Diceros bicornis minor: one gene and its partners. The protein of the gene in region 4 interacts with the protein of the main gene of each other region in a pairwise test. Links are inferred from orthologs where the notes say so. Each region holds a gene or a part of one and is shown on either strand. Other genes may lie near its edges. The genes, in order: RAB3IP, UTP25, RAB39B and RUFY1.

Region 1 (8,005 bases), on a different chromosome or scaffold from region 4:
CTTTTTCTGAACAGTGGAAGCCTCCTTGTCTTGTACAGGCAAGAACGTGTGTCACCTGAGCGTTCAGTGGGCAATGAGGCGCACAGCGACTGGGTAAAGAAACAAGCAATGAGAGGCTTTAGAGGGAATGAGCAGCAAAGCAGTGAAGAGCGGAGAGAGTGAGTCCAGCTGCCTTTGTTGAAAAAAAGAGAGAAAACAGTAAGCACCCTGAGGGAGCACCAAGATTGGAAAAACAGTCATTCAAGTCTGGGGAGACCTGAGCATCTCACCCAACCAGCCTCAGAGCCTTCCCTCTGGCTCAGTCACTGCCGGCTGTGTGAACTTGGGCACGTCACCCACTTCTCTGAGTTCAAACATAATGCTCTTCCCAACAGGAAATTAATTAAAACACTTACTTACTGTTTCCAGACTCGCTCTGGTTGTTCTTTCAGTGTAATCCCTTTCTGTCAACAGGTGCCACAAGACAAATACTCAATACCATTACTCTTCTCTAGACACACCAAATTACAATTCACTCATTTAATTTGTTCTAAGCTATCATCTGCACGCTCCTTGATGCTTCTAGGCCCCTCTCTCTCGAACCAAGTTCCCTTACAGTACTAGACTGTCATTTCATATCCTTTATGTAGAATTTCATCAACTTCCATGATGCTCACATTTACAACCCTGTTGTTAACGACAAGCAACAAATCTCTCATAAATTTGAACTATTTCAATAATTTTCATTCTTTTTCCTCTGATCTAAGTAATCTTAGCTTACGGCTAAAGCTATTTAATCTAGTGCTGCTGATACCCTAAGATAAATCAAGATTACTTTCTCATTTTTCCCTAACGCTGAATACATACAACTTAAGCTTATGCAACGACCTCATGTAGTTGTAAGCTGAAAGAGAAAGAAGGGAAAAACAGAGCTAGCAATCAACGCTACCTTCTCTAGGTATCCCTCTCCCCCTCAGTCCCTTCAATTCTCACTCTGAGCACTCATTCCCATTTCTACTGCTGGATCAATTCCAACACACCCCAACATTCTTCCACTGACCCTGTATCCCCAAACACAGCACCTCCCAGGTTCCAGGCCCAACACTAAGCCTCTGACCCCAGGTGAGGACTTGAACCCTGCCCTCAGAGCACAAGTACACTGGAGGAAGGGACCTCCTTGTCAACACACATTTACAACTACACTGTAAATATCAAAACCAATGAGCACCAAAACAGAGGCAGGTACTTGGTGCTTTGGAAGCATTAAAGGAAAAAAAATGTACCTGGCACAGATAAGGACAGCAGTACAGAAAAGGAGAAACGAGCTAGAAGAGAGTTTTCAAAAGCTCAAATATTTTACTTTTAGGAAATCAAGTGTATTTAAATAATTAACTTAGTAACCAATTTACTACCCTTTGTTGAACTGTGTCTTAAACAGAACTATACTGGACAAAGGTTTCGTCGGAACAAGTATACTCCCTAAGAAGATCCTCAGAGCTTTCCCTCATCACACAAATGTCTTAACCGCTGCTCGGCCTTCCTCCGCACTCCCAACCATTCCAGCACTGGCTTAGTCGGCACTCACTAAAAGTACTACTATACATACATGTACATGTGAAAAGTGCCTTCTAAATCTTGAAGAACTTACAGAAGACATGGGCATGATTATGTGGCCCACCTCCCAGACCCCTTGGGAACACTCTCCTTTAACCCCCACCGTGACTTGCAGAGAAGATGCTCAATGAATGAAACCCCCAGGCCACTTGGCCAGCTTAAACTAATTGGTTCAATGAGTGCTGCTCAAGAAGTAACCACCATAATACATGTAAAACTACTGTACCTGCAAGCTCTTGTTCTGCCAGATTGAAAAGTGATGGGGACCTAGATTTCTAAGAATCTTTCAACTTTAAGAATTATTTGTGGAACGTCTGTGTGTGTTGGGGGATGAGGGTTTAGGAAAAATTAGAGAAAAAAATATTAAAGGAAGTATATGCATAACTACACTAATTCAAAAGGTACACCTGGATCTAATTAGAAACCCCACTAATCAGAAACCCCCAGGCAGCTGAACATCAAACATCCATCCTGGACAGGTTAGAGGCATTCGATGCCACAGATGAGTTGCGTGCCAAACACACAAGGAAGAGTTCCATTAAATGTATCCACTTTGGTTCACAAGGGTGTGCACTAATACATAACTTGACTGTAGTGGAAAAAGAAAAAAATTAAAAGGCTTTTCTTCTAATAGTAAGACATGCACCATTGTAGTAACACTGTGTAACTGCTGTTCATTTCTATAAATTCCACAAGGGCTTTAGGACTAGATCGCATAAACCGTATCTGGGATGATACAATGTCTGTCGGAACACGAAAAGTCCTATCAAAACGCACAGTACTGGTAAATAAATAACAAATTTACCAGAACAAGGCCCCATAAAAACCGGTGGAATATTTAACAGTATCAAATATTGACTACGATGGGTCTACAGATCCATTCCGCCTCTTTTCTCCTCCATTTGTCGTTCACCTTTTCTTTTCCAAAAAACTGCACGTACAACAAAATAAGAACGAGGATAGAGAACACACAGCGGGTCTCGGCAGATTTCCAGCAGAGCAGTTTTGTTTTAATCCTCTTACCGGCCTCTCGGCACTTATGTAATCGCTCCGGGAGACCACGGGGCGCCCGGCTCCGGGACGGCGGCCCCGGCCCCGCCCCCGCCCCCGCCGCACCTGCCGCCGCACCTGCGGCGTCCGGCCCGGGCGGGGCCGCCGGGCTATGACCGCGTCCGCCGCGCGGCGCGTCCCGACTCCGGAGCCCGCCGGCTGGACGCGCCCCGAGCCCGCGGCGGCCGCAGGCCCCGGCCCGAGCGGGAACTCAGACCCCCACGCCCGCGCAGGTCCCGGGCCCGCCTCGGCCGCGCCGCGAGCCGCCGGCCGCCCTCCCGCCCTCCCGCCGCCGGCTCACCTCACCAAGGCCGGCGGCCGCCGCCCGCTCAAGCGCCCGCAGAGCCGCCGCCGCGCCCGGGGCCGCGAGAGGGCGGGAGGACGCGGGCACGCCGCTCCACCCCGCCCGCCGGGCGCGCTGCGCGGGGGCCGCGGCCCGGACTGCGCCTGCGCCGGGGCCGGGCGGGGCCGCGGGGGCCTGCGGGGCGGGGCGGGGCCAAGCGCGCGAGCGCCCGTCCCGGCGGACGGAAGGCGAGGGGCGAGGGGCGGGGCCCGAGGGGACCGCGCGCTCCGGCGCCCCCTGGCGCCCGGCGGGTTCTTGGCGGGCGCGGCGGGGCGCAGGTGCGCGGGCGGGGGCCCCGGAGCCGGCGCGCAGCTGGTTCGCCGGCGCGGGCGGCCTCGGTTCGCTCCGAGCGTGGGGGGCTCGTCCGGAGTCGGGACGGGAACGTTCGATGTGAGTTGAGGACTGATAGAACCAACTGAGACTCGCGTCCGTCGGGGGTGGGGAATCGAATAGAACCCAGACCCCAACATTCCAGCGGCTGCTAGCACATTCGAGAACGTCATTTCTGTACCTGCCTTCTCTCATCTTGTGTGTCAACTCTTGTCAAACTTCCACCCCATTCTAGGTCCTCCAGGGAGGAAAAGTGAGAATACAGAGAACCAAGCTCCCAAAATCTCATCAAAAAGAGGCGATCGCAGGGTGTGTCTATGTTCAGTAAAAGAGAGACGTGCAATTTGTGATACCCATTGAACAGGACCATCATGTGTATCTTGATCACGTCTGCTAGAGGCAATAAAGCAGAGTAGGTGGCATGTGCGGCTGTAGGAGTCAGAATTCCTGGGGCTGAATCTGCTGCCTACTAGCTGTGTGACTCTGGGTGACTGATCTCTAATTGTCCCAATTTCCTCATCAGTAAAGAGGGATGGTAAGAGTACCTACCTGGTTGTGTCAGTGAGAGATTAAATGGTTTAATGCACGTGAAACAGTGTACTGCATGACAGAGTGCCTAATGAATATTAGCTATTATTATTAATAACAGTGTTACTGTTGTCATCCACCTATAATCCAAAGAGAAACCTGCAAAGTCATTGTTTACTTTTATACTCCATCTCCAATATCACAAGTCATATCCATTCTAATTCCCAAATAGTTCTTGAATCTATCCCATCTGGTATTCACTGCCACTAGACAGGACCTTCCTCATTGATGGACTCCCAGTGTTTCTCTCTTCCACCCTGTCATTCACATCATGTCATGATGATGCCATTCATCCATCAGACATTCACTGCGCCCCATCAACGTGCCTACTGCTGGGTCTGGGGACAGAGAAACCATTACACATGATCTACACCACAAGCACTCAAATGTAGGGAGACAGGCACGTCAATAACCAGTGGAGTGGGTAAACTCAACATGCAGCAAACTACTTGGGTTCTCTGGTCTTGCCATCCTCCCTCATCCATCCCATCTTTAGGTATGCTGCTGGTTTTCTTGTCACCTCCTGACTCTCCACCTTTTCATTTCCTAGCTGATTCCTCCTTATGCTTCAGTATCAGCTCAGGCATCACCGCCACTGTGAACCCTTCCCTGTTGCTGCCACCCAGCCCTACCCCACCCAATATGGGTTAGGTGCCCTTACCTGTGCTCCCATAGCGCCTTATCTCCTTCTAGCACTTGTCACATAGAAAAGTAATTGTAGTTTTTCTATATTCCTAGTTACTATGAGCTTCTTGAGACTAGGCTCAAGATCTGACGTATAGTAGGACTGTCTCAAGTACATGCAGTTGAGTGGACGACATATATGCAGATGCACTGTCTTGGTCTATAAATGTTGAGAGGACAGGCCCTATGACATGTTCCACATAGGACCTAAGACGTCCTGCATCTATAGGAAAGAGTAAGCAGTAGCCATATGCCTGAGTCCCATGCTGGTCTGTTTGCAATCACCTGCCACCAACCAGGCTCTTTGGAATGAACTCAGTGGTGTTTCCTCTCACATACTTAACCTGCTGGCAGAGGTTGAGGATGAAAAGAGCTGTGTGAGTAGTTTCCTATGATAACACTCCAGTGTCCTTGCATCACGGAGACCAAGATACCTCACAGAATGTCAGCACCTCAGCCTGTGAAATGTATCAAGTGTTGTGAGCATCCTACATCAGATTGCTCTCCCGTGTGTTAAAGGGATGGACACTTAACAAACTTTAAAAACGTGATGACAGATTTTGTAGTGTGCTCGTTTGCATTCTTTCTCTTTAATTAAAAAATAAATTGTATAATTAATGTCAAATACAACATATAGAATAATATTCTATTTTTAAAAAATCTTAAAACTTTCCCATCCATACCTGGGGCCAGAAAACAAAGGAGATGAGTGCAAATATCTAGAAATTTAAAGTTGAACGAATCTTTCTAAGGTTGTTGTCCTTAGTTATAACTTTAATTGCTTGTTTTCCTCTGTTTTGTTTTCAAAGTGCAGAAAATGTTGTATGTTTACATGGTACTTTCCAGTTTCAAACTGACTTCACATTAGTTACCTCATGAGTCCTTTACAAAAACCAATTTGACACAGGTGGAAAGGTAGTTAGTCTTCGTCTTTACAGATGGGGACTGTGGACCACAGATCCCTGGTCTTCAGAATGTAGGGTAATACCTTACACACAAATGGAGTTAAAACTCTTTAAAAAGCATACTGGACTTCCCTGCCCAGCGGTGTGGCTGACTAGAGACTGGCTGATTCTCCCACCAAAAGCTCAAAGTGCTGGAAAAAATATATCAAATATCTTATCAAACATGTTAATAAGCTGACAAGAACAAAAGAAACCCTCAAGGGCAAAAACTACATAAAAGCAGAAACCCAGACAGTAAATAATAACAATGCAAAATGCAAAAAAAAAAAAAAAATTTAAAAGCTGGTTATAGGGAAACATGTACCAAAAATAATCTATCATTTCCCTCTCTAGCAAAACAGTTATTTGTGGGCCAGTGCTTGTATTCCCATAAAAATTGGCCTCTGCAACTCCTGTATAAAAGCAGAGCTGTCTCTGTCTTTCATTAGATCCATTTGGACAATGCTGCATTTCAGGCCGTTTTTCCGATGTTGGAATAAGCACCTGAAAAAATCGGAGGGTTGAGAGAAAGGGTTAACAGAAGAGCATGGACTCTAAAAAGTACAGTTCCCTTCAGAAGAGTCCCTGGAACAAGCTACGTATGTATAAGGAAATGTTTGGGTAATTGGCTGCTGACCCAGCAAACCTCACAGATGCACCCGTTGCCGTCCATTAAACAGAGACTTATTCACTGCTTCTCTGTGCCAGGTCCATAAATAATCAGCGGTAAGAGGGAAGAGAGGAGAGATGAGACACAATGGGAGGGCCTTCTGGCTTCCCCGCAGTGTTTCAGTCCCAGGTTCCAGTCTATTCCTGAGGCTTCCTTCATCCCTGCCCAGAGGTTCTGTGAGAAATCCTTGAATCCTTAAAATAATTCCCCCACTTTGCTTCGATTTTGAATGGATTCCTGCTACTGACCACCAGAAAATTATCCTGAACAATGTATTTTCATGGAGGGATTGGTTCCTGTAGCAGTTAAAAACTCAAAATAACAGTAGCTTACGTAAAATAAAACTTGTTCCTCTCAGGTAAGTGCGGGCAGTCCAGGGTCGGTATGGTGGCTCTCTTATCAACACGGACTCAGCCTCCTTCTATCATGTGGCTTCACCGTCCTAAACATGCAGCTTCTGCTTTATGGTCCGTGATGGCTGCTGAAGCTCCAGCACCACGTCCTTGTTCCAGCCAGCAGAAAGGAGGTGGGGGCAGAAAAGAACACACCACTCTTTGTGAGGACACTGCAGAAGTTGTCTACATCCTACACTTTCACCTTGTTAGTCAGGACTTAACTATAAGCGATGTTGAAACACGTAGTCTCGACTGTGTGGCCGTAGGCCCAGCTAAAAGTCAATGGTTCTGAAACCAAAGAAGAAGGGAAGAACAGATACTGGAGACAACGGGCAGTCCCTGGTCACCACGAGATTAGACCCAGGAAGAGGGAAGTGGTGATGGGGTAGAACATAGAAACCAAGCAAAGGCTTGTAAGGAAACACTCGAGGCGCTCAGTGATGGTGAGCGATGCAGAGCAGTGGGCACGTGGAATGAGTGAGCGCAGGCAGACAGAGAAGCCAGGGAAGAGAGTGGGAGCAGACTGGAAGATCATAGACGCCAGAGGGAGGCTGTGGGATCTGGTCGTCAGAGGTGAACCCCCAGAAGACTTTGAGCTGGAGAGTGAAATGACTGTGACAGTGCTTGAGGAGGAGGGACGTGGTGGCAGTGCCCACTGGAGGGGCTGACCAGAGGGAAGGAGTCAGACAGGAGGCTCGCACGAGACAGGAGTGCCTTTACCACAATGAAACAGGGCAGGGGAAACGTCTCCAAGGGTGGGTATGTGGCAGGCAACAGCTGATTCCGTGTCCTCTCTCTCTCCCTCTTTTTTTTTTTTATTCTTTGCATCCCTTATACCTTCTTGAGATCACCACAGTGATTTTATTCGGGGACCTGCCCTCCCACCATGTTCAGTCAGTATGATTCAAGTGGAACTGAATTCCTCCTGCTTCAGGGGTGAGCCTGTGACCCAGGCATAACCATCCAGAGAATCCTCCTGGTCTCTGTGGTTGGCTTGTGATAAGCAAATGATTCAAGCAGAGCCAATAAGAAGCAATTCTGGGTCTTTTGGGAAATCGCTGGGAAAAGTGAATCTTTATGAGGATTCTTGAGAAATTTGAATGTGACCCTGAAGCTGCTGGTAGCCATCTTGCCACCTAACAGGGAGAAGGCAGATCTGAGAGATAAGAAAACCAAGTGTGAGTCCTGCTGACATTACTGGATTTCCTGGATCAAGCTGTGACTGAAGTTGGAGACTCTGAACTTTTTAGTTACATGAGCCAGAGTTTTCCCTTTGCTTAAGCCAGTTTGTGTTGGGTTTGCTGCCAGTAGCAACTGAATAGACAGAAATAATGGTGAGGAAGGTGTCAATGATAATTCCAAGCTTTAAAAACAGTATCGTCTACCTTTGTCATACATAGTATTAATA
Region 2 (8,217 bases), on a different chromosome or scaffold from region 4:
AATGGATTACTAATACACAAACAACATGGATGAATCACAGAAACATGAGGAGCCAAAGAAGCCAGACACAAAAGGGTACATACCGTACATTTCCATTTATATGAATTTTTGGAGGTATTGGAAATGTTCTGTATCTTGATATAACATAGATGTATACATTTGTCAAAACTCATCGAACTGCACATTTAAAATGGGTACACTTTATTGTATGTAAATCGTACCTCAATAAAGTAGATTTTAAAGTTAAAGAAAAACGTCACCTAGAAGTGTGAGATAGAGCTCCTTTAAGCTTCCAATCCCAACCTCTGGAGCCTTCCCTCATTTAGCCCAGCAGTGTGTGACCACTGGGCATCTCTTCAACACCTTATACCTCGCTGTTCAATACAAATCTGCTGCTTGAAAATTTTTGTATATTTTATGTCTATCTTCCATTAAACTTTGTTTCTCTAAAGGAGGAACAGTAATCTCTTTAATAAATTGAGATCGTCACAGAAACAAAATTATGTTCTCTTTCCTCCCAATTAGCGGAACTTTAACTAGAATTGATGAAGTCCTGGAAATGATAGGCAAAAATGTTATTTCTACATTTGTGTGGCAAGAGGGTCCCGTCTTTTCGTCCCATTCTCAAAGATATCATTGAACCCAACAACAAAGTTAAGAATCTCTGCTTAGGGCCAGCCCCGTGGCTTAACGGTTAAGAGCGCACGCTCCGCTACTGGCGGCCCGGGTTCGGATCCCGGGCGGGCACCGACGCACCGCTTCTCCGGCCATGCTGAGGCCGCTTCCCACATACAGCAACTAGCAGGATGTGCAACTATGACATACAACTATCTACTGGGGCTTTGGGGAAAAAAAAAAGGAGGAGGATTGGCAATAGATGTTAGCTCAGAGCCAGTCTTCCTCAGCAAAAAGAGGAGGATTAGCATGGATGTCAGCTCAGGGCTGATCTTCCTCACAAATAAAAAAAAAAAACTTAAAAATAAATAAATAAATAAAAGAGCCTCTGCTTGGATCCACGTGCTTTCACTCAACTCACACGGTACAGGATACTGGACTCATGGGGCAATCTAAGGTTCAGGCAAAGATGATGAACCCACACCAAACACACTTACTCTCCTGCATGTCAGGAGACTCTGCTGCTGTCTCTTCTTCCACACTGACATCACTATCTCCATCTTCATCTTCCATTTCTGCCTCATCTACAACACTGTCTTCTTCTTCTTCTTCCTCCTCCTCGTCCTCCTCATCTTCCTCAGAAACATTCTTTAATGTGGCGAGTAGTTTGTGGTACCCAGAAACTTGTTCTGCTTCACTTTCTGCTTCACTTTCAGAACTTGAAGTATCTGAACTCTCTGACTAAAAGGAAAATGCAAATTTTAAAAACAAAAACTATATTATTCTCCTTGCTACCCTATGACTATCATCAGACCAACAGCGTAAGAGGTTCAGACTTTCCTAAATAAAAATGAGCTTTTCTGCAAATATGCAATCCTATCTATTCAACCAAGCCCAGCACCAAATTTATTTAAAATAGCTAATCTAGCTATGATTCTAGAAGCTCTTCATTTTCTTTGAACTGCTAATGTTCCACATGGGAAGAAAGCTGACTAAAAACGTAGAGCTTTAGGTTATAAGGAGATTTAACCCCTGTGTCAGACATTTGGTACGTTTAAAGCAGCAATGGGAAAATGACAATACAACAAAGGAATGTCATTGTTTTGAGTTTGTTGTAATGGGACAGGACCTTTGTTCATTTTGCACTCTATTTGCGGCTCCTTTTATGTTAAGCAAACAAGATATTCCCTGTTAGGATTCACCAAGAGCCCTCTGGTAAGCCTCCTTAGCAGGTTCTAACAAGCTTATCCCTCAAGACAGTTTCAAACTCTGGTTACTGTATTAGTTATCACAAGGGCATTTTAACAGACATCTGCATTCAAAGCTAAGCAATATTACTAAAATAATAGCTTACGTCTAAAATCAGAAAGAGTGGAAATGTCGCTAAACTTTCTTATTATATATAACCTTAAAAGTAACAACCCAGAACCGACTATTATAAAGAAGATATAAAGCATTACCAGTTGACAAATCTGTGGTTTTGCTTCTTTTCTGGAAACCCTGAGAAGAAACAGGTAATGTTAAACTTTATCTACAAGTATGTAGCAATTAGGAAAAAGTCTAATGACACAACTTTAAGTGAAAAAGGCGGAATATACCATTATAAATACATTCTAACTATAGTCATGTAAAAACTACATATGCACTTGAACAGGGATTCTAAGAATATGACAAATAGTTAATTGACAAATGAAAAGTTTAACGAGGTCACATGACAAGTACGAGTCACACAATAACTGGCTCTTATCCAATAGATAGATAAATCCGACAAACAAAAGCTCTCAGGGTTCACCTTTTCTGACAAATTTCTTAATTAGAGTGTCCCGCTAACTGCTGATAAAGCGGCCTAAAGTGCTGAGACGAGCACTAAGATTACAACCGAGAGTCTGGACACTTACAGAGGAACCCACAACTACCGACACATCAGTTTGCTCATTGTAATTGGACAGATCGGTGATGTCGAGGGTACCCAGCAATTCTTTAAAAACACAAAAAACAAAAACAATCTTAGAAAACCTCTCACCATAGAAAACCCAGCCCCCACACAGTGGGCGTGTCGTCTAGCATAAAGTCGGGGGCTCAACAAAAGGTAAGAAGACCCGAGAAGAACCCCGTCTCCAGGCGGGATGCCGCCAGAATCCTCCCCAGCCGAGCACCCGCCAGGCTCCACGCCGAGCACGGCGGGCGCCAGGGAAGCGTGGGAAGAGACGGGAGCAGCCCCGTCACTGTCCCATGGGAGACCGGCGGGCCAAAACCGGAAACGCCGGATCCCACTGGGAAAAGACGCTGGCAGCGCTGGCCCCAGCTATGCGCCTCCATACTTGTCATAGAAGGGATGCTCCTCGCCGAAATCCCGAAGATGCTTCTTCTGCTTTTTAGTCAGGGTGTTGAGCAGCTGGCTCTGGCTCCGGCTCCCGCGTTTGCCCATAGCGAAAACGTCAAGTTCGCCCACCGTCAAACACCGCGCTTCCCACCAGGAAGCTGTCCTGTCAATCCACTCACGTGGGCTCACCGACGGCGCTTTACGGCGGAAGCAGGTTGCCATAAAGCAGACCAGCTTTACGTCGCGCTTGTACGACAGGCGTTAAAACTTCCTGATTCCGATTCTGCCCCCTAGCGAGGCTCTTTGGAAGCAAACGCACGCATGCGCATTTGTTCTGAGTCATGGAACGTCAGTCAGGCTGGGCTGCCGGATGTGTGGATAGGTGAGCGTGGTTTGTGCTTCTGTTTTGGTTATGGGACTCAGCCTGCGTAAACGTGTATTAGAGGAGATGGTTGGATGCAGTGACTTTATATTATACCATAATAAAAAGACCAACCAATGTTTAAGGGTGCCCCCACCCCTCACTTCATCCTCACAACGGTGCACAAATAGGTCTTGTTAATAAGCCTGATATTGCAGATGAGGAAACTGATGCTTAGAAAAGATGACACACGAGCAAGAGAGAAGATGGAAACCTAAGTCTGTCTGATCCACCACAGGCTTTCACCCACCAGGGTCTGCCACATACGTATGCTAGATCAAGAATGGGGACGCCAGGCTGAGATTCCCACCCTCGTCCCACCCCCTCATCTCCTGAAAGTGTTGGAAGAGCCCCTAGAAACACATCTGTGCCTACATTCTTCATGTTACAAGAGCAAAAACACATCGAGAGAGGTAAAGCGACTTTCCTACAATCATCCAGAGAGTCGATGTTAGAGAAAGCCGTAAAACTCAATCAAGTGTCTCAAAACTGAACTCGGGCAAAGGGGGGACGGGAAAACTTTTTAAGGCGGAGTAACCATTCTATATCTTGATCGTGGTGGTGGTGGTTACGCCTTGTATACAATTACGAAAGGCATCAAACTGTCCGTTTAAAATTGGTAAATTCTAATGTATGTAAATAATAACCTCAATAAACAAAGAGGACAACACAGCAAAACAAAACTGGACTCAGTACTCCAGGGGCAGGCAGAGTGAGCAGGGCTACTTGAGACCACTGGATAAACACAGCGAGATTCTTCTTTCCTACCAGTAACTTATCATGTCATGTTCTATAAAAACAAATCCTTGACTAAAACATAGTGCTATATCATAGACCGCAAATTTCACCTGAATGTTTCCACAGGAGCCATCAAAGACAGTGTTCACTTGGCTCTGCTATTCGGAGTGCTTCTGTGGGAAAAGTTGAGCTTTGCCCATGTCTCACTTGTAGAAGCTGTATTAGAACTACTAGGATTCTATTCTTGTCAGTTCTAGTGGCCATCTACTCCTCATTAGATTCTGGGGGGCTGGGGTGGGGTAGGGAGGGCAGGTAGAGGGAGTGTCAAGAAAATATGCAAACAGCAGGTGGTGCCAGCAGCTGGCCCAGCCAAGGAACCCATAAACAAACAGACATCTGTCTTCTAATTTGAAGATAGAATGTACAGTCACTTATGTCAACAAAAGGCTGTTTGCAAAATGTCATCATATATTTTAAGGCGCTAACCACAGTATAACCTGGCTATAACGATAAAGAGTCAAACTCTTTTTTTCTCCTCCCACCCTATGCCAACTTCCCCAGCTTCCTTCCCCAGAGGCAACCAGTTTCTTGGTGTTCTTCCAGAGAGCTTCTATAAAAAGCTACACTCTTGAGCACTTGAGGTGACTCCTTACTCTCTCCTGGTTTCCACATCCTTGTAGTCATGTGGATGGACAGGTCTAGACTGTTCCCAGGTTCAGGCAAAAATGTGCCCTCGCCCCACCCAAGTGGTCTCATCACTGGCTCACTGAGCAATGGAAAGGGAGCCAGCCCCTCTTCTCCTGAAAATATTTATATTACCATTGACAACAAGAAGGGGGACTCTGAAATTTTAACCTAAGAATCCAGAATTTAAACATTTTTTCATGCCTCCAGTGAAAGTTCTCTTAGTAAAGCCCTCGCAAAGAAGATGTAAGTGCCAACTAGTAAAGGCTCTGGGAAAATTATAATGAAGGCAAAATTTGTTCTTCTTTCTTCTTCCCACCCTCAGCCCTTCCTTTTCCCTTCTCCAAGGTTTTCTTTTACCTCTACCCTCAGGTACGCAGTATAAAGAAATAATCCTTTATACTAGTTCATAAAGAGATGTTAATGAATTAAGTTACCTTTCCCAGGGTATTCGCAATTCCCAGGAGACTCCCTAGGATAATAATTTCAAGGGGTAGAAGAGGGATGGCTGTCCCTTAGGACAAGAATATCAGAATACTCAGGGAGGTGTTAATAATTTAAAAGAAAAAACCTTTGGAAAATTTCAAGTATATACAAAAGTAGACAAAATGGTATAATGCACTCCCGTGTGCCCATTACTCAGCCTCAACAGTTATCAACAAGGCCATCTTGTTTCATATATATGCCCACCCACTGCCTCTGACCCCCTCTGCATTATTTTTGAAGCAAATCCCAGGCATTATATTATTTCATCTGTAAACATTTTAGTATGCATTTTTAAAAGATAAGTGTTCTCGGGGCCAGCCCCAAGGGTTCTTTCTTTAACATAGCCACTATGGCAATATTTCACCAAAACAAGTGACAATAATTATTTAATATTATCATATATCCAGTCAGTGTTTAAGTTTCTGATTGTCTCATAAATGTTGTCTTTTTTTTTAGTACTTTGTTGGTTTAACATGTTCTGCTGTTCTCTATATTTCTCGTGAGTAGGTTGTTGGATCTAGAACTTTGATCAGACTTGATTACAGTTGGTATTTTATACTTCCATCAGGAGGCGTATGATGTCTGGTTGTCTTTGATTTTGTGATGGTACCAGCCATTGGTGCTCAATGTCTAAATTTGTTAATTCATTAGACGTTGCATTCTAATTCTATCATAGGGGGTGATATTCTAATTCCATCATTTCTTCTTCACTTACTTGAGGGACTATTCCTATAAAGACAAACTTCTCCCTTATCTAAATTTTGGTTACCCAGTGGTACAGTTTGTATAGGAAAAGCAGAATAAATACTTGATTCTCTCCCTTCATTTACTAATTTTCAATACAATCAATTCACTAGATCTTCCAATTGTGACTAATCAACTCTTCGTTTTTTATTTTTAGTATGATTATGAACTCACAGAGTTGTACAAATTGATGTGTTTTAATCCCTTGCAAACATTATGGTGTATATGGTTTGAAAAAGCTTATTTGATATATAGCTTTGTATTTGAAAAGACAAACAAACCACTTTCTAATGCAAACTACAGAAAGTAAGCAGAGGTCTAGCTGAGATTCTCAACAGAGAGGGGTCCAAGCACGCCTTGAGAATACAGATCATACTGGAGATGTTTGAGTTTTGGAACTTATGGGATAACATGTGATAACGAGGGCACATGGATTCAAGATATGTTGACGGGGAGCCATAGGTGATCCAAGGGTATGACTCTGTAATGGTGAAAGTTCAATCACCTCAGCTACTGATTTGGAAAGATTCTGGGGAAGGTGTGTGTGCGCCCACGCATCTGTCTCCTCCTAGAGGCCTTAAATCAGACAGTTTCCTCCATAGGAGACCAGCTCCTCCACATGTATACACATGCGTCTATGTACATTCCGAAGCAATCCAGCCTCTCCCTAAGAGTGCTGGCAGAAATCAGTCTCTCACTACCCTTATCGTGAAATAAGCTTATTTATTTATTCAAAAAAATATTTACTAAACACCTGGTGTGCCCGGTGCTATGCTAGCAGCTGAGGCTAGGAGAAAGAATAAGGTCCACGCCAGCCTCTTCAAGGAGTCTGCAGTCTTGTCCAGGCGTGGATGAGTACACAGATGATTACAATACACCGTGATAAATGCTGAACTGATAAATGCTGAATGCTAATGAAGCAGCGAGGACCACGTTTTGGGGCCGAGGGGGGGGAGGTTAGGGGGAGGAGGAGGGGATCCCCCGTTGAGCATTTATCAATCAGTCACATTCATTGAACATTAGTATTGAACTCAAAATTGCTCTAGATTCTAGATCTTAGGCTGTATGCGTTGTTTCAGCTGACTTCAAGAACAGCATGTGTATGTGTTCAAGACAGGATATGAGGGATATAGGACAACAGGAAATTAGAAAGCTGTGTAGTCATCGGATTCCTCAGCATTTATTGTGTATGGAGCAATAAGCTTTCTAGGTGGAGCACATTTTAGAAAAGGAGATTATGTCTGAGAAAAGAAAAACTTTGTAACGCACTGAAATACACTCTACATAACACAGAAATGTAAAATATCATTTTATGGAGTTCCTACCCTTTCTGTTCATCTGTACCCATAAGAAGAACTCATCGACAAATCCAGAGCCTCGCTCATAGTGACCTTTAATAAATGTTTCCTCGGGTTTATCAAAGACTGATTTACGTTGAGTCTAGCCTAAAACTGAAATATTTTATCAGATTATATTAATCTGAGAACAAGCCTAACATGCTATGCTCCCTCTCGTGGAATATTAGTATAACTACACCCTATTTTTCATGTTTCCTGACAAAGGCTCAGCAGGCGTACATTCATTCAACTTATCAAACATTTACCAAACAGTTACTGTGTTCCAGGCATGACGTGAGGCATCAAGGATTTAAAAAGCTCAGACCTCAGACTTTTCCCTTGAAGATCTCATAGTCTAGTCGGAGAGACAAAGCAATTAACAAATAATTACATTGTCATGGGCTAGAAGCTGTATTAGAAGGATGGTTCTAGGAGCCCAGAGGATAAAGAAACTCATTCTGCTGAGAGGGGAGCTGCACAGAGGATGTGCTGAGTCAAGGTTGAACAAGTAGGGAAAGAACCTTCCAGGGAGAGAGAATAGCAGGAGCAAAGGAGTAAAGATGTGCTTGGAGAACTGCACAGTGGTCCATGTGCTGGGATGGGCGGGTGGGAGACGAGAGGTTGGAGAGGCAGGCAGGTGAGGAGGCAGTCCATGGAAGTCCTTGCATGCCTCGCTGGGGAGGTTAGGCCGGATCTCATATAAGGTGAGGAGCCATTAGAAGATTTCAAGCAAGGGAGTTACGGGATCAGATTTGGACTTGAGAGAAATCACAACGATGTCTGGTATGGGTGACAAGGTTATTAATTCTTCCTTTCTGATGCCTCCTCTGAGCAGTTAGTTTGCTATTGATGCTAATGGAGACTTTTTC
Region 3 (7,473 bases), on a different chromosome or scaffold from region 4:
TAAGTCCCAGGTTATCATGAGGCAAAATGAAATAATAGATATTATAGTGTTCTGTGACCAGGAGAGCTCATCACAAATTCTAGTAGTTGAAACAGGATTTTTTAAAAAATAAAAATGAATTTATGATCATTGACAGAAAATGCTTATAAATATATAGGTATATTGCAATATACTCCACTTATCATTACCATGTTTGTCTTTCTATTGTTATTATTATTATTCTAATAATCCAACAGGGGTCCTCAATCTCTTCTGTGAAGAGAAACACAATTTTTTTTACTTTTCAGGCCATGTGGGAATGGGAAAAAGAGGGATGATCTGCAAAGGCCTTGAGCAAAGTGCCTGTCAGCCCTACTTCCTGACACATTTCAGAGAGGCTGACTCAGGAGCCCCCAGCTGGCAAAAACTGCCTAAATACCCAAAGTTTCCCTTTGAAATGACATGATTTATTTAAAGGATTGTAATTAGAATATTTCTAAATCCTATTATACATTTGCTGTACTTCTTAAACAGAAGAAACCTCATATATTTTAACTTCTTGATTTGAGGAGCTTCATTATCAATATACATTATGGTACTTTGCTTAGAGTGTATTAGAGCTTATTAGAAGGTGTACAACTATTTGCTTCTACAATCACTTGTTTTAGATGACTGTGCTTTTTGATCTATGTCTATTTTTAGGTTTTCGATCTCCTTGGATGAAGAAGATAAACAATGAGGGACTCAATAGCTTAAGACTTAGGGCAAATAGCCAAATGATAACAGAACAAACATTGTCCAGGGAGGGCAGGCCCCGTGGCTTAGTGGTTAAGTGTGCGCGCTCCGCTACTGGTGGCCCAGGTTCGGATCCCAGGCGTGCACTGACGAACCGCTTCTCCGGCCATGCTGAGGCCGTGTCCCACATACAGCAACTAGAAGGATGTGCAGCTATGACATACAACTATCTACTGGGGCTTTGGGGGGGAAAAAAAAAGGAGGAGGATTGGCAATAGATGTTAGCTCAGGGCCAGTCTTCCTCAGCAAAAAGAGGAGGATTAGCATGGATGTTAGCTCAGGGCTGATCTTCCTCACAAAAAAAAAAAACATTGTCCAGTGAATTAAAGTCCAAGCTACATGATGATAACAGCAAACCTTACAAGTGAGTTCAAGTCTCCAGGACCAGGCAAATCAGCCCTGGAGACTGAAAGCATTTCTAATTCCCTTATGTTTGAAGATTCATGGAGAATGGTAGGTGTACCAGAAAATTTGACATGAACAAACAGAGCTTTTGATTTATGAACAGCTTGGTTTAAGAAATCAATAAGCAAGCTGTAGACCCCTGTCAGAACTCTAAAATACATTATTACATTAATGGTTTGTGAGTATTTAGAAAGCAACCAAGCCCTTTCTAAGCAAAACATAAGGCTACATAAAAATTAAAACCTTCTTTACATTAAAAATGTTTCTTAAACAAAGTTAACAAACAAATGACAAACTGGGAAAATATTTTACAACATACATGACAGAAAATAATTAATATTATTAATCTATAAAGAACTCTTACAAATGAATATCATCCAATAAATAAGTAGTGGATATGAAAAGGCTGTTCATACAGAAATTCCAATAAACATGTAAAAGACACCTTTCTTCACTTATAATATGAGAAATGCAATGACAAGTTCAAAGTGAACCTGTACAAGGATATTTGTCAAAGTGTTGTTTGTGAAGGTAGGGAGTTGGAGACAACTTAAGTTTGTAATTATCTCTTCTCCCTACTCCTCTTCAACTACCTAACCAGTATCTTCTATGCTGAATTAGTGTTCAATAGATAAATAAATAAATGATCATAAATATGGGCTACTGAGTCATTTTGATCTAGTTCTTGCTACACCACATGACTTTAACCCAAATTGCTCTCTCAAAGTTTTGTGTGTACACTGCTCTCTCGCACTTCTGTCTTTCTACATGGTATTTCCTCTCTCTGGGCTTTTCCTGTCTTTCTTGGGTAGTCATACTCATCTGGCCTCATCTTCTCCAGGAAGCCTACCCTCCTCTGTGTTCATACATATAATTACAAACAATACATACTACAAAGGAAAAGCAAAGCGTTGTAAGAGAAAATTAAACCTGTTCATTGATTACTCATTATGTGCTAAGCATTATAGTAGGGAGTGGGCATACAAATATGAACAAGACACTCCTTTGTGTAATTGCTCATTATCTATTTCCCCCTACTATGCTAGCAGAGAAGTTGTAAGAGGGAAGGGCCTGTGTCTGTTTTGTTTACATGGCATCCCCTTGTGTGAGTTTCCTCAGGCTTTTTCCTCAGAAACAAGCCCAGTGTCTTGCACGTAGCGGATGATCACTGAATGTGAGCTGGTTGCAAGATGAAGTCAATCATCAGTATCTATTTCATATGGATATAATATATCTATACCTGTATCTATCTCTATATCGCCTATCTATCTATATGTGACAGTTATGTCAGGATGACCCGGGAACATTTTTAAAAGAATGTAGCATAGGCACTGAGATTGATGAATTACAGTAATCAATTCCAGCTAGTTTATTAGCCACCAAGGGGCAGGTTGGTGGAGTAGTGGTGCAAGCAATACGTACTATAGACGGGCCTTCCCTGCCAGGGCGCTTCTTTCCCTGCACTTCAGCTAGCTGAAGGTGGGCTTGAGCAGAAACCCCCAGACCCTTGGTATCGTCCCTACTGGCCGCGACCAGGACCAGGAAGTCCTTTTTCCCCAGGGACTGTGCAAGCCCTGAAGACCCTCCCACTGCTCGCGGGCCCGGACTGCGCTCCCACCTGAACCTCTCTTGACCCGCGGTATCCCAGATCTGGAGCTTGATGCGTTTTCCTGGCTCGATCTCCACCAGACGGGAGAAAAAATCCACCCCGACGGTGGGGTCCGAAACCTGGGCAAAGCGGCCCTCGGTGAAGCGGCGGATCAGACAGGACTTGCCCACCGTGGAATCCCCGATGACAATGAGCCGGAACTGGTACAGCCAAATGGCCTCCATGGCCGGGGCTCGGCAGGTCTCCTTGGCCTGGGCCGTGGGCGGCGAGAGGGGCCGCTCCGCCGAGGACTCGGAGAGCGCAGCTCGATCCGGATCTAGATCGGCCGCGAGCGCATCGCTGGCCTGGGAGCCCGAGGCGAGGTAGGCCCAGGCGCAGGGAGAACGGAGGGATGGATGCTGTGCTCGCAGGGGTGATGAAATGGCAGCAGCATCAGCACCGCGCACTCTGACTCATCACTGACAACCAGGTTACTGTAATCGCCCGAGTAGACGCTACGCCAGGGTCCGCCGCACTGTCTCTAAGAGGAGCGCACACAAAAACGGCCACGAAAACAGCTCTGTTCCCTTTATTTCTAATTCCTCCACCCAACCCCTCTTCTTAATTACAAATTTTCTTTATCTTTCAAATTGCCACAGTAAGGGGGCCCGGCAGGTGGCATAGTGGTTAAGTCCCGGCGCTCCGCTTCAGCGGCCCGGGGTTCGCAGGCCCTGAACCAGGCGCGGACCTGCACCGCTTATGCCATGCTGTGGCAGGATCCCATATACCAAAATAGAGGAGGATGGGCACAGATGTTAGCTCAGGGACAATCTTCCTCAGCAAAAAAAACAAAAAGTAATACCTTTTCTTTAAAACTAGTGAAACAATATAAAAATGTACATAAAAAGGAAACTCCATAATTATATGCCCCCCTCCCTCCCCAAGGTATTAATAGCTTGGTATATTTTCTTCCACGTGTATTTATACACATTTATTGCTGTTTGATTTTACAAAAATTGGATCAGATTGGACCATTACTCTGACACTTGCTTTTTGCAGTTAAAGAATCATAGACATCTCTGCATTTCCAACTCATTTTCCTTTTGCCATAACAATGCTACAATAAAGATTCTAAGTATAGTCACACATTATTTCTATGAGATAAAGTCTTACAGGAGGGACCAGATAATCAAAGAGTATGCGTATTTTAAATGTAAAACATACGGGCACTATACTTTGAAAAAATATTTAGCAATTTAAATTCTAGTCAGCAATGTGGGAAAAGACCATTTCTTTCCATTATTCCAAGCATCATATATCATATTCTTAATTCTTGCCAATCTGATGTAGTTAAATAAAAAGGTGTCTCATTGCATTGACCATTTGCATTTCCTCTTCTGGGAATTGCCTCTTCAAATCCTTTGTATTTTTTTTATATGTAATCCTTTATCATTGCCTTATTCAATTATTTTTAAAACAGCTTTATTGATATATAATTCACATACCATACAGTTCGCTCATTTAAAGTGTACGATTCAATGGTTTTTAGTATAGTCGCAGAGTTGTGCAACCATCACCACAATCACTTTTAGAACATTTTCATCACCCCAAAAAGAAATCCTGTATCCATTTATAGTCATGCCTCTTTTCCCCTCAACCTCGAGACCTACGCAACAATAATCTCCTTTCTGTCTCTATAGATTTCCCTGTTCTAGACATTTCATAAAAATGGAATCATACAATATGTGGACTTTTGTAACTGCCTTCTTTCACTTACCATAAGTAGTGTTTTGATTACTAATCCAATCTCTTCACTTGTTATAGGTCTATTCAGATTGTCTATTTCTTCTTAAGTCAGTTTCAGTAGTTTGTATCTTGGTAGCAATTTCTCCATTTCATCTAAGTTATCCAATTTGTTGGCATACAATTATTCATAGTATTCGTTTATAATCCTTTTTGATTTTCTAAAGTCAGTAGTAATGCCCCCTCTTTCATTTCTGATTCTAGTAATTTGAGTCTTTTCTCTTTTTTTTCCTTGGTAAATCTAGCTAAAGGTTTGTCAATTTTGTTGATCTTTTCAAAGAACCAATTTTTGGTTTCATTGATTCTATTTTTTATTTACTTTCCATTTCATTTATCTCTGCTCTAATCTTTATTATTTTCCTCCTTCTGCTTGATTTACTTTTAGTTTGCTCATCTTTTTCCAGATTTTTAAGGTGTAAGCTTAGGTTATTGATTTGAGATCTTCCTTTCTTTTTTTTAATATAGGCATTTACAGCTTTAAATTTCCCTCTGAGCACTGCTTTATCTGCACCCCATAAGTTTTGGTATCTTATATCTTCATTTTCATTAATCTCAAAGTATTTTATGATTTCTCTTTTGATTTCTTCTTTGATCCATCTGTTATTTAGGAGTGTTTTGTTTAATTTCTATATATTTGTGAGTTTCCCACATTTTTTTCATGCCATTGATTTCTAATTTCATTCCATGTGATCAGAGAACATGCTTTGCATTGTTAGTATCCTTTTAAATTTCTTGAGGTTCCTTTTATGGCATAACATATGATCTTTTCTGGAGAATGCTCCATGTGCACTTGACAAAAATGTATATTCTGTTGTTGGGTAGAGTATTCTATATATATGTGTTAGGTGTAGTTGGTTTTTAGTGTTGCCCAGGTCTTAACTTTCCTTGTTGATCTTCTGTATAGTTCTCCTATCCATTATTGGAAGTGGAGTATAAAGTCTTCAACTATTATTGTAGAACTACTCCTCATTTCAATTCTATCAACTTTTGCCCCATATATTTTGGAGCTCTGTTGTTAGATGCATATATGTTTGTAAATGCTGTATCTTCATGATGGATTGACCCTTTTATCATTATGAAATGTCCCTCTTTATCTCTAGTAACTTTCTTTTGTTTTGAAGTCTATTTTGTCTGATATTAGTATAGCCACTTCAGCTTTCTTGTGGTTGCTGTTTTCATGATATAACTTTTTCCAAATTTTTACTTTCAATCAATGTGTATTATGGAATCTTAAGTGTGTTGCCTGTAGACAGCTTATAGTTGTATCATTTTTTTATCCAATCTCACAATCTGTGCTCTTTTATTGAATTGTTATTATTGTTATCATTTATAAGGTTGGATTTACATCTGCCATTTTACTTTTTCCTTTTTTATATATCTTATTTTTTGTTCCTCTATTCCTTCTTTATGACTTTTTTTGCATTAAGTGAATATTTTCTAACGTAGCATTTTAATCTCTTTAATGATTTTTTCACTATATTTTTTACCTATTTTTTAAATAGTTGCTCTAGAGTTTACCAAATACATCTTATCAGAATCACCTTCAGGTGTATACCAGATTAATTCCACATATATGGAATATATATGTATATATAATATATGATATATAGAAACATACTTCTATATAGCTCTATTCCTTCTCTCACGTTTAGTGATATTATTGTTAGACCTATTTTAATTTTGTAATGTCCATTAATTTTATAAAACCAACAATACATTGTTATAATTATTGCTTTACCATCTGTAGTCATTTCCTTAGCAATATAGCTTGACTCCCATCCACCTCTTATGTGCTGCTTTTGGCAAATACATAACATTCCTATATGTTATAGACCCAACTGTACACCATATACATATTATTTTATACAATTGTTTTTTAAATCAGTTAAGGAAAAAGAGGAGAGAAGTATACATTTATGCAGTCTTTTATAATTACATAATTACCTTTACGAGTGCTCTCTGTTTTGTGTGTGTGTGTGTGTGTGTGTGTGTGTGTTTGAACTGCCATCTGAGGTCACTTGCTTTCAGTTTGAAGAACTTGCTTCAGTATTTCTTGTAAGGTGGGTCTGCTAGCAACAAATTCACTCAGTTCTTATTTGCTTACTTTGGAATGTCTTTATTTGCTTTCATTTTTTGAAAGATAGCCTTGCTGGATATATGATTCTTGGTTGACAGTTTTTTTTTTCATCACTCTGACTATGTTATCCCACTGCATTATTTATTTTGAGAAGTTGGCTATTAATCTTATTGGTGTTCCCTTTTAAGTGATGAGTCATTTTTTTCTTGTTGCATTCAAGATTTTCTCTTTGACTTTCAGCATTTTTACTGTGATGTGTCTGTTTGTGAATCTCTTTATGTTTATCCTACTTGCAGTTCATTGAGTTTCCTGGATGTATAGGTTATTGTTTTTCAATAAATTTAGGAAGTTTTCTGACATTATTTCTTTGGACATTTTTTCTAGTCTTTTCTCTCTTTCCTCTCCTTCTGGTACTCTCATTATGCCTATGTTGATGCACTTGATGGTGTCCCACATTTCTCTGAGGTTCTGTTCACTTTTCTTCATTCTTTTTCTCTCTGATTTTCAGCTTGCCTAATCTCTATTGAACTATCTTCAAATTCACTAATTGTTGCTTTTTCCAGTTGAAATCTACTATTGAGCACCTGTAGTAAATTATTTATTTCAGTTGCACTTTTAAACTCCAGAATTTCCCTTTGGTTCTTTTGTAAAAAAAATAATTCCTTTCTCTTTATTGATAATCTATATTTGATGTGACATTGTCATCATATCTATTTTTACTTCTTTAACCATGCTTTCCTTTAGTTCTGTGAACATATTTGTAATGACTACTTTGAAATCCTTTTCTGGTAGATCTGACATCTGCTTGCTATCACAGGCAGTTTGT
Region 4 (7,286 bases):
ATAAAGTAGAGGAAGACGGCCATGGATATTAGCCCAGGGCTAATCTTCCTCAGCAAAAAGAGGAGGATTGGCAACAGATGTTAGGGCTAATCTTCTTCACACACACACACACACACACGCACACACAAAAAAGCAGTATGTAGAACCTAGTGTGTCTGTCCTGTGGTTTGTGTGAAACTGGTGGGATGAGACCGTGTGCTCTGTGCACAGACGCTCTCTGACAGATACTATAGGACTAGGGACAGGTTCTGGGAAGGAGGAGTTCCTCTACACTAAATGTCCTTTTGGTTTGGTTTGATTTCTTTTTTTTTTTACCACCTGCATTTATTTCCAAAAAAAAAAAACCAACAACAAACCAAACCAGACAACCACAGAGAACCAATCACCGTGGCATGCTATGCTACCAGACCCCACAGAGGATAATATCTTAAAATGAGTATCAAAGTATTACACAACATTCCACAGCATTTTCCTTAAACGTCTATCACCAAACACATTTTATCTGGCAAGAGCGCTGCTCACATACCATCTCTGCACCCTCACTGCTCCCTCTGAAAAATCTCCGTCCTCACTGCTTGTGTAAGCAGGTCAGTGAAAAGAGATGAGAGCCGGCCCTGTCCTGGCCCCAGCTGAAGTGGTGGCTGCTCCTTCTCCCGACATGTTTTTCTGAGGCCTCTGCAGAGCCTTTCCCACTCCCATCCCCACTCCTCTCCCACTGCTGGCTTCAAATTCTGGTTACCTTCAGGGACTAGCCACACAGCTCATCCCAGCGGTTCCCTACATTTCAGCCCTTAGTAAGCCATGTTCACAAGTTTTGCCAGATCTGAGTGGCAGTTATTTAATATTTTCTTTAAATTGACTAATTAAAAAATCCATATGGTATATATTATGGCATTTTGCTTATAAAGTTATTTAAAGACATCAAGGCTTTGAAGTGTTGTGACTAAGGGCATGGGCTCAAGACGAATACTGTCTTGGTTCAAGTCCTGGCTCGGCCACTTCTAAGTAACTTGGTCAAGTTACTTCTCTTTAATTCAGTTTCCCTCTTTATGGAACGGGGATAATAATGGTGCCTATAACATGGGGCCAGCTTGGAAGTCAATCTCCTCTTCCCACAGTCCTAAGGGACTGCAACTTTTTGCAGGAAGGTAGTCAGTACCTGGTTGGGTGGGCGAGAGGCCTCTGCCCAGTTACCTGCCTAATGTGCTGTGGCAGTGCCAGCCTGGGGCAAGACAGTGGACACCTTGCCCTGCCCTGAGATTCAGAGGGTGTGATCTCAATCCTCCCCCGGCCAGGAGTAGTCACAGAGTGGGGTCAGCGAGGGGTAGGAAGAAGCCCCAGGGCAGTCTGAGTGGGCCAGGGCTGCTGAGAGCTTGTCCCAGGGAGGCAGCGGAAGGTGGCACCACACATGAGCTCCAAGGCCTCCACACATGCTCCTTTGTTCCATAGGACTTCACTTGCAAAACAAATTCACAGATAATAAGAATTTCAAAAGTGGGGCACTTCTGAGTGCCTGGCCCTGGGCGACCACACTGATCATAGCCTGCGTGAACTGCACAACATGAAGCCAGTCCTGCAGTCATCTAAGGTTACTGTGAGGATTAAGTGAATCAGCGTATGTACAGACCTAAGACTAATACCTGGCACCTAGTAAGTGCAATATCAGTGCTGGCTATTATTTATAGCACTACTATAAATGGAAAACAAGTATTTTTCGAATGTGCATTTGTTCAACAATTATTATTCTGTTAGGCACTGTTCTAGGCACTGGCACATTTTATTTATCAGTGAACATCTAACATTTATAATTTCCTTGCTGTGGGCCTCCAGAAGATCCCATGCTTTGACTCTCAGAACTGACCTCCTTGGGGTGGGTATACCATGAAACATCCACTGACACGTGCAAAGGTGGGGAGCTGGTAGGAACTAGATTCCTGGGTTGAACAGGCTTCCTCATTACCTTCTAGTCCTACTTTCTATTGCCAGAATCTCAAAACAAGCCAGTTTTTAAACTTTTCTCTACTCATTAATATTTCTTAACCACCGAAATTCTCACAATCCACTATTCTGGCCTGAGTGATGACTTCTATAGCAAATTCACCAGTGAATAGCAGGGAATCGAGAAACCGCAAAGGCACATGATAATGCTTCTGAGAGAGTACTATAGTCTAGTCAGCTCTGCCCCACAGCGCTTTCTATGAAGATAGAACGGAATCTTTAATTTTAATTTAACATTTAAACATCACACGTGGGTAGTGGCTACTATATTGGTCAGCACAACTCGGCTTTATAAGGCTTTCTAGGCCACGCTCTTAATATCATACCAGTTAATGTTTCCATTCTTCTCACAGATATGCTGAAACTCTATTCTTGATGACAAGGGCTGAAGAGGATTATAAATTTTACAGGCTGGGAAATGTGGCGACTTGTCTGCACCACACAGCGAGTTGGTGGTGAGGCTCGCCCGGAACCCGCACCTCCCGACCTCCGCCTGGGTGCTCTGACCCCGCGCTGAGGCGGGATGCGCGGTTAACCCCCGGAGGTGTGAGCCGGACTGGCATTGTGAGATTAAAGCAGAGACCAGTACTGGATTCATTTCTTAAGTACTTCTGAAATTAATACAGACTACCTAAGCTTAAACTCGTAAATTTTCTTAGTCTACAGCCCGCCACTAAGAATAAGGATGTTGTCTGGGAAACACAGAAGGGAGGGATAAGGTACGAGAGTCGCCCCAATCTCAGGGCAGCCACCCCCACGTTTGCATCTTGGCCTGGCAGCACAGGATAGAGAAAAAGGACGAGCGGTCAGGCGTGCTGACAAGGTGGCCAGCAGCTTCTCCAACCGGCTGAGGCAGCTCACGCCCCTGCCAGCCCGGCTCCCCCTGCGAAACGGCCGCGGTCGCGTGCAGAACACGCGCGCGCCCGGTCGGAGCCTACCTGCGCGCGCCGCACCGTCCGCGCCGCCGTCAGCACCGCCCAGTCCCGCGGCCGCACGCAGCGCGCTGCCGCAGCTCGCCGACAGGTTGCCTGTGGCCTTGCGCGCCAGGGTCAGGATGGGCGCCGACCACCCCTCCGCCGCCGCCCGCGGCCTCGCCGCGCTCCGCAGCTCTGCCGGTCCAGGCAGCTGGCTCCGGTCCACGATCTCGAACTCTTCTCCCGGCCCCGGCCCCAGCTCCGGCACCCGCTCCCGCCCCGCCGGGCAGCCGTCTTCCCCGTCGGCCATCTTGGCCCCGTCACGTGGCTGCAGCCGGGGGCGGACTGGGCGCGGGCGGGCGGGCGCTTTAGCTCCGTGGCGCTCTTTTTTTTTCCCGTTGGCAACGTTCTTTTTCCTGTTCACAGCGCTGCTTTCCTTCCTTTCAATTTGAAAAGGTTCAGGAAAGTACAGATCATACACGCGCGTTCCCACCAGCCTGGAGGACTTGTTTCTATGAAGTTACTCTTGGGCTTTGTCCCGTTACAGTGGCCCACCGGCTTGGCCTGGGACACAGCTCCTATGGCCGCAGTCGTCTTTGTGACACTGTTTCCTCTTTTTAAATTTCATTTCTTGATTTACTTTTCCTACTTCGTCATTTTTCTGCAGCAGTCTTCAGAACAAGCCCTAAAAGGGCTGGCAAGGAAAGTCTGGGACAGGCGAGGCAGGAAAGAAGGATTTTTCTTCTTAATTAAATAAGGAAATGCGATGGCCTGGCAGGAAAGAGCACACTGTGGTGGATGGGGCATCAGAAGGTCGGGGTGTAAAATAGGATTTTGCAGTCAGAGCACGTGGCGGACGTCAGCGATTGTGATGACTCTCTGTCACCCAGCTATGCGGCATGGGCAAGACACCATCCGCTTGTAGGGAATTACTCATAATCTGTTTCCTAGCTTGGAAAAGAAGGGACTTGGCCCAAATAGAAACTCAAATTTCACTTTTTGTTACCAAACCGAAAAGTGGGTTCGCCTCCTGATGAGTTAAAATCAGACTCTTGACCAGAAGTACTTGTCACACAAAGTGGAACTTGTTTGCAGCAGATAGGCATCGTGGAATCATTTCACAAGTCGCGGCTCTCCCTAAGCACAGGAAAGCAGGGACCTTTTATTTTGGATGGGGAATAAACATTCAAAAGAGAGAGGGACATTTGCCTGTCTGGGCTCAGAGGGAAAACATGCTTCCACATATGCTACAGGTTATGGTGATACGCCTGAGAGGAGATCTTAGCATCAAAAATGAGGCAAAGGGGGCAGGCCTATGGCTTAGCGGTTGGGTGCGCGCGCTCCGCTGCTGGCGGCGTGGGTTCGGACCCCAGGCACGCACCAAGGCATCGCTTGTCCTGCCATGCTGTTGCTGCGGCCCACATACAGCAACTAGAAGGATGTGCAGCTATGACAGGACTATCTACTGGGGCTTTGGGGGGGCGGGAATGAGGCAAAAGTCACAGGCGTAGCTCTTGTGGTGGGGCTAGGTCTGGTTCAGGGGTGGCTGGTGATTGCATCTCTTGAACAGTTGAATGCTTCTGAACCCACACTTGAGTTCCTCGGGGCAATTAGTCTGTGACAGTGACACTTGGTTTGCAAAGTGCTGCACTTGGGCCTTGTGAAACTAGGAGAACTGTTTTGTTTGAATCCCAGAGCGTTTAAATTAAAAAAAATTAAGTTGTTGCTGATATTTAGAAATCAAAAGATTTCATATAAAAGTCTGGATTTTGGCCTTCTCTTGAAATATCGGAAGCTTTGGCAACTCAGAGTATATTTCCCTGATGGCTGCCCCTTTAGAAGCCCAGGTTCTCCTGGCATCTTAGTCCACCCTCTTCACAAGTTCTTGTAATCTCAGTTGTTTTCTCTGGGGGGAAGGGGATGGGGAGTGCCTGGGGTGTTTGTGGGGATGGTGTTTGAGTTGTCACAATGATTGAGGGGCTGCTACTCGTCTTACTGGAGTGGGGTGGACAGGGGCGTTAGGTGGCCTGGAATAACAAACAGTTGTCCAGTATCCTTTAGGACTTTCCAATGCCACTGGGCGTTCATGTGGGTGAAAAGCTTGTTTATAATGAGCCTGGAACCTAATTCCATGTTGCATAAAAACATTAACTCTTTTTTTTTTGAATAGTTTTAATATCGTATCAGGCTGGCTTATGCTGCAGTAACCCCCAAATCTCAGTGGCTTAACATAAGAAAAGTTTGTTTCTGGTCATGCTTCACTCTGGGACCCAGGCTGTGGGAGGTTCCATCACTGGGAGCAGAGTTTTGCATCAACACTAAAAGCCCTATCCCTGAAGTGACAAACTTTGCTTTTATACACATTTCATTGGCCAAAGCAAGTCACAGGCCACCTCTAGCTTCAAGAGAGGTAGCAAGTCCAATCTTACAACTGTCTAGGAAAAGGAGAACTGGGAATACTGGTGAGCAGTATAAGGACTACCATAAGTGAACCCTGAATTTTCCCAGAATGCAACTAAATTGATTGTTCAGAACCTAAGAGCTATTAACCATTTCAGAAAACCATACCACCCACAGCAATGCTGCTTCTGGTGTTTAAGACATTGCGACAGTGCCTGGTAGTTGTGTTACTGAACCAAGTGGGCTCACCTCCTGGCAAGTTAAATGAGACTCTATACCAGTGGAAGTTGTCTCACAAAGTAAAGTGTATTTGCAGCAAATAGGAAGCCATGAGGAGTCATTTCCAAAGTCAAGGCTCCCCGAACAAAGGCAAGCAGGGACCTTTGTTTCGGGTGGGAATGAATATTCAAAAGGGAGAGGTGGGTATTAGCTTTTGCAGGCTCAGTAGGAAAACGTGCTTCCACATACACTGCAGGTGGTGGTGATAAGGCCTAAACTCCTCTGGAGAGATCTTAGCATTACAAATGAGGCAAAGGTCCTGGGTGTAGCTCTTGTGGTGAGGCTTGGTCTGGTTCAGGGTGGTTGGTGGTTACACCTCCTTAACATAACAAAAGGGAAAAAAACAACTTGGAAAAACAGTTAAATGCTTTCAAACCCACCCTTGAGTTCCTTGGGACACCTAGTTGGTGACAGTTGTGCCCCATTTACATATTGAAATACGTACTATAGATTTATTTATCTTTTATATTACAGTTAGGACATTATATTAATTTTTTGAAATTTTGAGTGTTGGTAGGTTTATAATCTGTGAATTTCATTTCAGAATAGTGAATAGGGCATTGTACAATAAGTATTCCTGAGCCAGCCCTGATGGCCTAGTGGTTAAAGTTCGGCACGCTCCATTTCGGTGGCCTGGATTCGGTTCCCGGGTGTGGAACCACACCACTTGCCTCTTAGTAGTCATGCTGTTGCTGCGGCTCTCATAGAAGAGCTAGAAGGACTTACAACTAGAATTAACAACCATATACTGGGGCTTTGGGGAGGGAAAAAAGAAAAAAAGAGAGGAAGATTAGCAACAGGTGTTAGCTCAGGGCGAATCTTCCGCAGTGAAAAAAAAGAAAAGAAAAGAAAAAGTCTATGAGACCTATATAACCGTTCTTAAAAAAAGTAATAAAATAAAATAAAACATGTATTCCTGATAGGGTAGGCAATTGAGTTTGCACATATTTATCTTAATTCTCCCAGCAACAAATGTGGCAATTCTAAGTTCTTTCAATTTTTACTTTATATGAGATCAACTCTGGAGAAAACTTGGTAAGAGGGGTTTTGGTGAACAGAGTGTGTGTGATTATTTCAAGTACCTTAACATATTTGTTATGTTATTTTTTGTAATTTTCACATGCTTGAAACGTTCTATAATAATTAAAAAGCCCCTCCCCTCCAAACATGTGGCCCAATCCTCCCTCCCACCCCAGACTTTTTTTACGGATGCCTTCTGTGTGGTTTGTCCCCCAGTCCTTTTCCTCCTCTCTACTCAGGACCTGTTTCTTATGCCTTGGGTTTCAGCTGCCTGCTGCCTCCTGAGGGTGATTCTGCCCTCTGTCTGTTGCCCATCTGTCTCACTTTTCTTTCTAGTCTTTTGGAGGATTCTCACCACGTTTCTTGGACCCTATCTCTCCAATATGGCCCTGCCCTTCTATACCCAGTGCCACTGCCCGCACGGATTCTCACCTGGTTTGTAGTCACTTTCTAGGAGGTCTCTTTGTGTGTCAGGGCTTTACTTCCTCTGTTCTGTTCTAGACACCTCAGCCCGAGGACTTCCCAAGACCCGGGGCTGGTGCTTTCACCTTCCTGCTTGCAGATCTCCCGTGGCTTCCCCATTGCAGGAGGAGTTGTCTTGTCCACATGCTGCAGTGTCAGAGTGCCCATTTTCTCCCTGGTGTGAGCTAGAAACTGAGTAATGCAGTACCCTGG

Evidence for each region.
Region 1: the proteins of RUFY1 (region 4) and RAB3IP interact in binary tests that used the Homo sapiens proteins (3 or more experiments, as listed by UniProt). The two-hybrid records come from large-scale screens. The link is inferred for Diceros bicornis minor from reciprocal best matches to the Homo sapiens genes RUFY1 and RAB3IP.
Region 2: the proteins of RUFY1 (region 4) and UTP25 interact in binary tests that used the Homo sapiens proteins (3 or more experiments, as listed by UniProt). The link is inferred for Diceros bicornis minor from reciprocal best matches to the Homo sapiens genes RUFY1 and UTP25.
Region 3: the proteins of RUFY1 (region 4) and RAB39B interact in binary tests that used the Homo sapiens proteins (3 or more experiments, as listed by UniProt). The two-hybrid records come from large-scale screens. The link is inferred for Diceros bicornis minor from reciprocal best matches to the Homo sapiens genes RUFY1 and RAB39B.

The regions. Positions count from the first base shown.
Region 1 is NC_080756.1:1,618,014-1,626,018, forward strand, and holds the start of RAB3IP (rab-3A-interacting protein), read right to left. Parts: upstream 3,022-8,005; 5' UTR 2,945-3,021; intron 2,638-2,944; exon of another isoform or gene 2,617-2,637; intron 1-2,616. UniProt on the Homo sapiens protein: Guanine nucleotide exchange factor (GEF) which may activate RAB8A and RAB8B. Promotes the exchange of GDP to GTP, converting inactive GDP-bound Rab proteins into their active GTP-bound form.
Region 2 is NC_080743.1:75,865,739-75,873,955, reverse strand, and holds the start of UTP25 (U3 small nucleolar RNA-associated protein 25 homolog), read right to left. Parts: upstream 3,128-8,217; 5' UTR 3,044-3,127; coding exon 2,937-3,043; intron 2,898-2,936; exon of another isoform or gene 2,683-2,897; coding exon of another isoform or gene 2,639-2,682; intron 2,116-2,638; coding exon 2,076-2,115; intron 1,357-2,075; coding exon 1,113-1,356; intron 1-1,112. UniProt on the Homo sapiens protein: Component of the ribosomal small subunit processome for the biogenesis of ribosomes, functions in pre-ribosomal RNA (pre-rRNA) processing. Essential for embryonic development in part through the regulation of p53 pathway.
Region 3 is NC_080781.1:138,747,592-138,755,064, reverse strand, and holds the start of RAB39B (ras-related protein Rab-39B), read right to left. Parts: upstream 3,191-7,473; 5' UTR 3,013-3,190; coding exon 2,798-3,012; intron 1-2,797. UniProt on the Homo sapiens protein: The small GTPases Rab are key regulators of intracellular membrane trafficking, from the formation of transport vesicles to their fusion with membranes.
Region 4 is NC_080740.1:92,537,206-92,544,491, reverse strand, and holds the start of RUFY1 (RUN and FYVE domain-containing protein 1), read right to left. Parts: upstream 3,223-7,286; coding exon 2,937-3,222; intron 1-2,936. UniProt on the Homo sapiens protein: Activating adapter involved in cargo sorting from early/recycling endosomes. Regulates retrieval of proteins from endosomes to the trans-Golgi network through interaction with the dynein-dynactin complex.